Linked DNA regions of Daphnia pulex. The protein of the gene in region 1 interacts with the protein of each later gene in a pairwise test. Links are inferred from orthologs where the notes say so. Each region holds a gene or a part of one and is shown on either strand. Other genes may lie near its edges.

Evidence for each region.
Region 2: the proteins of homeobox protein homothorax-like (region 1) and homeobox protein extradenticle-like interact in binary tests that used the Drosophila melanogaster proteins (3 or more experiments, as listed by UniProt). The link is inferred for Daphnia pulex from reciprocal best matches to the Drosophila melanogaster genes hth and exd.

Annotation. Positions count from the first base shown.
Region 1 is NC_060026.1:11,046,482-11,049,359, reverse strand, and holds part of homeobox protein homothorax-like, read left to right. Parts: intron 1-1,054; coding exon 1,055-1,113; intron 1,114-1,718; coding exon 1,719-1,897; 3' UTR 1,898-2,437; intron 2,438-2,613; 3' UTR 2,614-2,878. UniProt on the Drosophila melanogaster protein: All isoforms are required for patterning of the embryonic cuticle. Acts with exd to delimit the eye field and prevent inappropriate eye development.
Region 2 is NC_060023.1:11,356,167-11,360,534, forward strand, and holds homeobox protein extradenticle-like, read left to right. Parts: upstream 1-1,259; 5' UTR 1,260-1,346; exon of another isoform or gene 1,347-1,436; intron 1,437-1,693; 5' UTR 1,694-1,769; coding exon 1,770-1,940; intron 1,941-2,002; coding exon 2,003-2,144; intron 2,145-2,209; coding exon 2,210-2,460; intron 2,461-2,550; coding exon 2,551-2,741; intron 2,742-2,816; coding exon 2,817-2,952; intron 2,953-3,020; coding exon 3,021-3,120; intron 3,121-3,199; coding exon 3,200-3,351; intron 3,352-3,418; coding exon 3,419-3,478; 3' UTR 3,479-4,233; downstream 4,234-4,368. Other genes in the region: surfeit locus protein 1-like, read left to right, coding at 53-142, 214-338, 401-586, 638-811, 868-1,081. UniProt on the Drosophila melanogaster protein: Transcription factor which acts with the selector homeodomain proteins altering the regulation of downstream target genes such as wingless (wg), teashirt (tsh) and decapentaplegic (dpp), thus affecting segmental identity.

The DNA.
Region 1 (2,878 bases):
CGTTACACAAGTCAGCAGGTATTTATGAGATGTTTCGTATCATCACGAAACCCGGGCAGCAGTGAGAGAGAGAGAACTATATTATATTTATATGACTGTAATAGTTCCTGGGGTCAAGTGACAGCTTGGCCAGGGCTTCCGCTGCGCTGGATATATATGTATATATGTATACATTTCCGTTTGTTTTCCCAGTCGTTTTGAGGTTTTTATTTTATTATTTTTTGGGGAAAACAGAAAATTAAATTTTTTGTGTTTTTGGTAATTTCGGTTGTTTTTATTTTATTGAGTTGAACATGTTTTCTGGGTTCCGGGCATCTAAAAAATAATGCCTTCCCGTATGTAAAGCGTCAAGAAGATGGACGGACATATCATTCACCTCCTCCTCTTTTTTTTCTTCTTTTTCTGTGGGGTACCTTTTGTCTTGCGAATGAAAATTGAAAATAAGTTGGCTGGCCAGCACACCAGCTGCTGGCTCTCTCACATCAGAGAGAGAGAGAGCCCGTGTGTCTTTCTTTTCCAACTATTCTTATCAACATCGGGGAAGAATAATACAGGGAAAACCTGCAATTAAGGTAATGATTGTGCTGAGGCCGTCCACCTATAGCCAGTCTCTCTCTATAGGCCCATCCAATATATCTAGTATATATACGTATTCCGGCCCCTTTTTTTCTCAAGCGACGGACAGGCCGTCGTCTCGACCGTCGAATCACACGGCTCATTATGAACACGTCTTTGATGCTGACGTCACCTGGATGATTATACTATTCTACTCGTTACCCCTTTTTTCTTCTTCTTCTTCTCTTCAAAGATGTTTTTTCTTTTTTTTTTCAATTGTCCTCGTCGACACAATAGGAAAAGAGCCCCAGAGTTATAATGTAATTTTTTTTCCTTATAAATAAGAAAAAAAAGGGAGACTTGAGTGAATGCGTATGCGCTTAAAATTAATTCCCTACGACGAATAATGAGATTTTTCTTATTTTCTTCTTTCCTTTTCAAAAATAATTTATTATAGCCTTGTTAATAATTGGAGAAATTTTTCTTTTTTCCCCTCCAGGTTTATCAACGCCCGGCGTAGAATCGTTCAGCCCATGATCGACCAGTCGAATCGTGCCGGTAAGTTTTGGATTTCTTCCTTTTATATATATCTTGTATCGTGTAGCTTCGTTATCTCGTCTGTGGAGATTCGATTGCCCAGATAATATCGTACACATAGAAAAAAAAAGAAAAAGAAAAGTTGATCGGAGACCAACATCAACTGGAGTATAATCATCCGGCGCCCAGCTGCTGCCGCTGCTATAGCGTCACTCCCTCCTTTTGCTATATATAAAACCAATTGTCGTGGCATTAAATATTGACAGTGCCATTGTAGAAGAAGAGAACAGAGAAAAAGAGACGGGCGCACGAATGAGCTGTTTGCCTTCCTTTTCTTTCTTCCGCTGCTGTTGAGACGCCATGAAAAACCGGAGATAAGCTCCTTTCTTTCCCTTTTTATGTAGTAGTTGTGATGATACTTGGGACACACACTGTCGCTGAGCTAATTGATCGCTTATTGCTCCCCCTCTCTCTCTCTCTCGCCCGCTCAAACAGCAGCGCTCCTTTTAGTGTAGGCCTAAGCTAATCAATGATCAATACTATAGCTCCTTTATTCTTGCCTATCTAAAATTTGAACGCGATTTTTAATGTCTACATTTTATTTTATTTTTTTCTCAAAAATATAGTGGCTTTGTATCCGGCTGGCCCTAGCGGCGCTTACAGTCCCGATGGCGGCGGTATGGGTTACATGATGGACGGAGGAGCAGCAGCGGCGGCGGCCATGATGCATCGACCGCCGGCCGATCCTATGGCCTTCCACTCCGAGTACCACTACCCGCCACAGTACTACGGCCATCACCTCTGAAGAAATTAAAAGTGAAGGAGAAGCAAAAATTTAAAAAAAAAATTAAAAATAAAAATCAACGACACTGGAAAAAAAGAACCCACACACAAAACTCGACTCTCGTTGGCTGCTGCTCCTGCTGCTGCATGCGTGTCTCTCCGCTACCCATACAATTTTGTCCCTCATTTCCCCCCCATTTTTGTTTTTGTTTTCCCTCTCCTTTTCTTTTTATAAAAATTGAACGCCGAAATGTTTTCGTTTTTTCTGTCCAAAATGTCCGCCGCCCTCCCCTCCCCCTCAAGAAAAAACTACTCGAAGCAGCTAAAAAGACAAAACAAATGCAAAAACAAGACACCACACAAATTATATATATACATAAATGTATCATAATGTCATCACACTATCAAAACATCACGTCGTCTACTACGCCACAAATGTTCTTCTTCGTCTCCTCTCGACCGAAACATCACGAAAAATCCCGTCAGGAACGCGCCAGCCGCCACTCATCCGCCATCATCAGCCAGTCATCAGCTTCGAAATTTGTTCCCCATCGGTGGACAGGTAAATAATTATATCCGACAAATATCCACGCAATAAAAAAACAAACAAACAAACAAAAAACAAACATGTTTTTATAAACTGTGGAATTTGATGGTTTTCCTGTTCGAAATTCCAAATTCCAAAATAGTTTAAAAATCATATTTTAATAAATTTTTTGTGTTTTTTCTTCTTTCCAGCATACTCTCCCGTTCGGCCGGACTCTGGGTGTCATAGCGGTGGATCGAAATTGAGAATTTCTGCTCCCCTTTTCTGATACGAAGAAGAAGAAGAAAAAAACACCATCATCATCAAAACTATTTTTCTGTTTTTATTTCGAAAAAGAACATTTTCGTCAGTGTTTTGTTTTTTTTGTTCCGTTTGTGTGTGTGTGTGTGTGTGTGCTGTGACTACACGCGTTTGCGTGCCGTGTGTGTGTGTGTCGCTCCGAAGTGAAGAAGAAGA
Region 2 (4,368 bases), on another chromosome or scaffold:
TTTATAGCTTCAAAACTGTGTTTTTCAACATTCATTTTCTGCTACTATTCAGACATGTACACAAAATTACGTAAGACGATCAGCCTCAAGCTATGGGCAAAGAAATGCTGTAGATATCGGAATTCACGGTTATTCGTTATTGGTAAGATAATCGATTTTAAAAATAAAACGTACATATAGTTCTTTAACAAAAAATTGATCCAATAAATGTAGGCTATTCCAGCCATCACTTTCGGCCTTGGGACCTGGCAGATTTTCAGACGTCAGTGGAAACTTGGTGTTATTGATCATCTTGCCAGCAGAACGTCTGCACCACCAATTCCATTTCAGTCTACAGAGTGAGACTGATACAATTCTTTAACTCTACCCTTTTATGCATATTTACACCAATGCTCTACAGTATTGAAGGGCTATCTGACATGGAATACCGGAAGTTTGAACTCCATGGAAAATTTGAACATGACAAAGAGATTTACATTGGGCCAAGATCACTGGTTGGAAATGAAAAAAATGAAGGTGGTGGGATGTTGTCTTCAGGGCAGAGTGGCTATTTAGTCATCACTCCATTTAAACTATCAGATTCCAAGTAAGACATTCAAACAGTTAATTTTCTCAATTTTCTACAAGTTACTTTTAGTCTCACAGTTCTTGTAAACCGCGGATGGATTCCTCGTAAAAAAATGAATCCATTCACCAGACTAAATGGACAAAGAGAAGGCGAAACAAAACTGATTGGAGTGTACCGCTCTAATGAAAATCGCCCCCAGTTTGTACCCCAAAATCAGCCCAAAGACCGCATGTTTCATTTCAGGTAAAGACAATTATATTTTTCGCAAAGTTAGATAACTTCATATATATTGCGTACAGAGATGTGGAGGGAATGGCTCGGCTTCTAGACACTGCGCCAATTTTCTTTGACGCGGACGCTGATAGCACAGTACCGGATGGACCTGTAGGTGGACAAACAGTTGTTACTGTTAGAAATGAACACGTTTCGTACATTTTAACGTGGTATTCATTATCAATTATCACAGCATTTTTGTGGCATCGACGATTTATCAAGAAAATGCCTCTTATGTAACTTAAATGTATTTATCTTCATAGAGGTTAAAGTCAAATTAATACATTTTAACATCAAACATCATTATATTTTTACTCTTGTTGCGTTTTCATTTGTAAAAATAAAATTTTAATTAATAAAATTCAAAATAAAAAATAAATACAGTATCGCGAGTTTCTAGTACATCGATTATTGGCTTACCCGATATAATTATCGATACTTACCTTTGTGATCGCGTTCTCGCGTCTTTTTTGCTTTGTCCCGTCGATAATCTCGGCGATCTCTGGTAATTATTTTATGAGCCTTTGAGAAATGTGATTCAGTCTGTTTGAATACTAAACAACTCGTGAATTCCCGGTTTCAAATTGTGTGTCAAGTCAGTAAAGAAAGTTTTTATTCTAATTGAAAGAAATACGCTACGCAAGCAAACTTCTCTTCCATGGCGGACGCTTGTCGCCTTGGGCATTTTATAAGACGTTGGCATTTTTATATTAACCGAAGCCAATTTTTGTTATTTACGATTGCTTTCTTGCAATACTAGTGCTTTGTTGTGTCTAGTACATTTCATTTTATGTTTACATTTCATGAAATCACATGTATGGATGTTAGTAAACGGAAAGTCATTGTTTACAGGGTCTTTATTGCCAGGTCCTGTAGCCTGAAGGCAATACGTTTTGTGCAGTGACATTGGAAGATTTCATTGCTTTTGATGGATGATCCAAATCGACTTATGCATCCTGTTCCAGGTGGCCAGGTTGGACTAATGCATCAGCCACCGTATGGGTTACCTCCTGTCAATGTCGGAGTCAATGTTGGGGTTAACATGGCTTCACTTGATGGAGGGAACCAAGACTCTGAAAATATGACTGGACGAAAGCAGGTGTGTACAATTCCATTTCCAAAATCTTTTTTTCCTTTTAAGTAAAACTTCTTTTTTTTTAGGATATTGGAGAAATTCTGCAACAGATCATGAACATCACAGACCAGAGTCTTGATGAAGCCCAAGCACGCAAGCATACCCTGAACTGTCATCGCATGAAACCTGCTTTGTTTTCTGTCTTGTGTGAAATCAAAGAGAAAACTGGTAACCCTATTTCAATATGAATCCAAGTGATTGAATGGTAACATTAAATTGTGCTCTCACTTTAGTTTTGTCGCTACGCAACACGCAAGAAGAGGAGCCTCCAGATCCGCAACTCATGCGGTTGGATAACATGTTGATTGCTGAAGGAGTAGCTGGTCCTGAAAAAGGAGGTGGGGCCGGTGCTGCTGCCAATGCATCAGCTGCAGCGTCTCAAAGCGGCTCAATGTCGGACTCGGCTATTGAACACTCTGATTATAGGGCTAAGTTGGCACAAATTCGTCAAATTTACCATCAAGAGCTTGAGAAATATGAGCAGGTACACATTTTTAGCAATGCTTATTTTTTTATTGGACCTCTATGACAAGAAAATGGAGAATAACCATTTCATTTTTACATCCGCTTTCAGGCTTGCAGTGAATTCACCACCCATGTTATGAATTTGCTCCGAGAACAATCCCGTACTCGTCCGATTACACCCAAGGAGATTGAGCGGATGGTTCAGATCATTCATCGCAAGTTTAGCTCCATCCAAATGCAGCTGAAGCAAAGCACTTGCGAGGCCGTTATGATTTTACGATCTCGTTTCCTCGACGCCAGGTAAATTTTGCTATTTTTTTAAGGTTTGACCACGCCCATTAAAGGTGTTGTTCTATCGATGTCTTCATCATGTAGGAGGAAGCGGCGTAACTTCAGCAAACAAGCTTCTGAGATCTTGAATGAGTACTTCTACTCGCACCTAAGCAACCCCTACCCAAGTGAAGAAGCCAAAGAAGAGCTCGCTCGTAAATGTGGGATCACCGTTTCACAGGTTAATTTCTTTTTAAATCCTTTTAAGAGGAATAAGCGCATTAATGTTTTGTTATTTTTACAAAAAAGGTTTCGAATTGGTTCGGTAACAAACGAATTCGTTACAAGAAAAACATTGGAAAAGCCCAAGAGGAGGCCAACCTGTATGCTGCTAAAAAGGCCGCGGGTAGTTGTTTCCACTCTGAGGATTTTCAAATCCTCGTATTACCGGAGCGATTCTAATTTTCGTACTTTTTCTTTCTCGTTAGGTTCCTCGCCATACAGTATGGCTGGAACTCCCGGACCGATGATGTCGCCTCAACCTGGTGGTCCTGAACTCAGGGGTCCACAAGATTCCTTAGGCCCGTACGGTGCTATGGGACTCAACGGTGGTGACTTTCCTTCCTCCATGGGCGGCCAAGTAAACTACTTTTAATGACTTAACTAGTGGTATCTCAGCATATTAATTAATGTAAACGTGTTTGTAGGGCTATGGCGATTCATCGATGGGTTATGATCCAAGTATGCATCAAGTGAATTCACCCTGAGGGGTGGACGAGTGCCCCTTCTCCTCCTCCACCCTATTTCTCGGCAAATCAACTCTTAATTTACTAACTTCATCAGATCTTGATCATACTGTGCGTTACAAGCTATCTTCAGCTGTTCGATTAACTCGTTCTAACCCATCTCGTACTCCTTCTTTTGTCCCTTCCTCTCAGTGCAGCTTTGTTGTTTCGTCTTGATAGAAAATGTTTCTGTGGATCACCTCGATCGGTGCTTGTTTTTTCTCATTTGTTTCAGAAACCTCTGTAGTTTTAATCGCTTTTGCGTATAGTTGAAACCGTCGATGTAGTCGTTATCGTTTTTATTTGACAACTAGAAGTGAACCGAACATCTCCGATTACAATCACGTACGCTCTCCCGTCACCGAAAAAACGATCATCAGTATTCTCGAAAATCCACATCCCACGGACCCGAGTCCTATTTCTAAAAAAACAAAAAAAACACAAGAATTCCCATCAAGTTTGCGTTTTAACTGAAAAAAAATACTTTTCTTTTGATATGGTGGTGGAACCGAATGCAATTTTTGGTATTAGAATATTTTGCAGTTCCTCCTCTGTCCTATAAAAAAAATGACTGGCGCTTTGAAGTGAAGCTCAAAATATTTCTTTCTCGTTGGTACGTTTTTATATTATTTTCCACTAATCCGTGTCTCCTTTTTAAACACTATATTCATCTGTTCACCGCGCAAATCCTTGCCATGAAATCATGTACAACCAATACATCCATTTCTAGGTGTCAACGTTCTTATTTTTTTCTCATTATTTTTTGAATGTTTTCAAATTTCAACCATCCCGAGGGTTGATGATGCAGTTCGTGTATCAGCGGCTCAGCGCCTTTCAGTGGTAGCAGATTTACATGTTGCATTTCGTGGAAG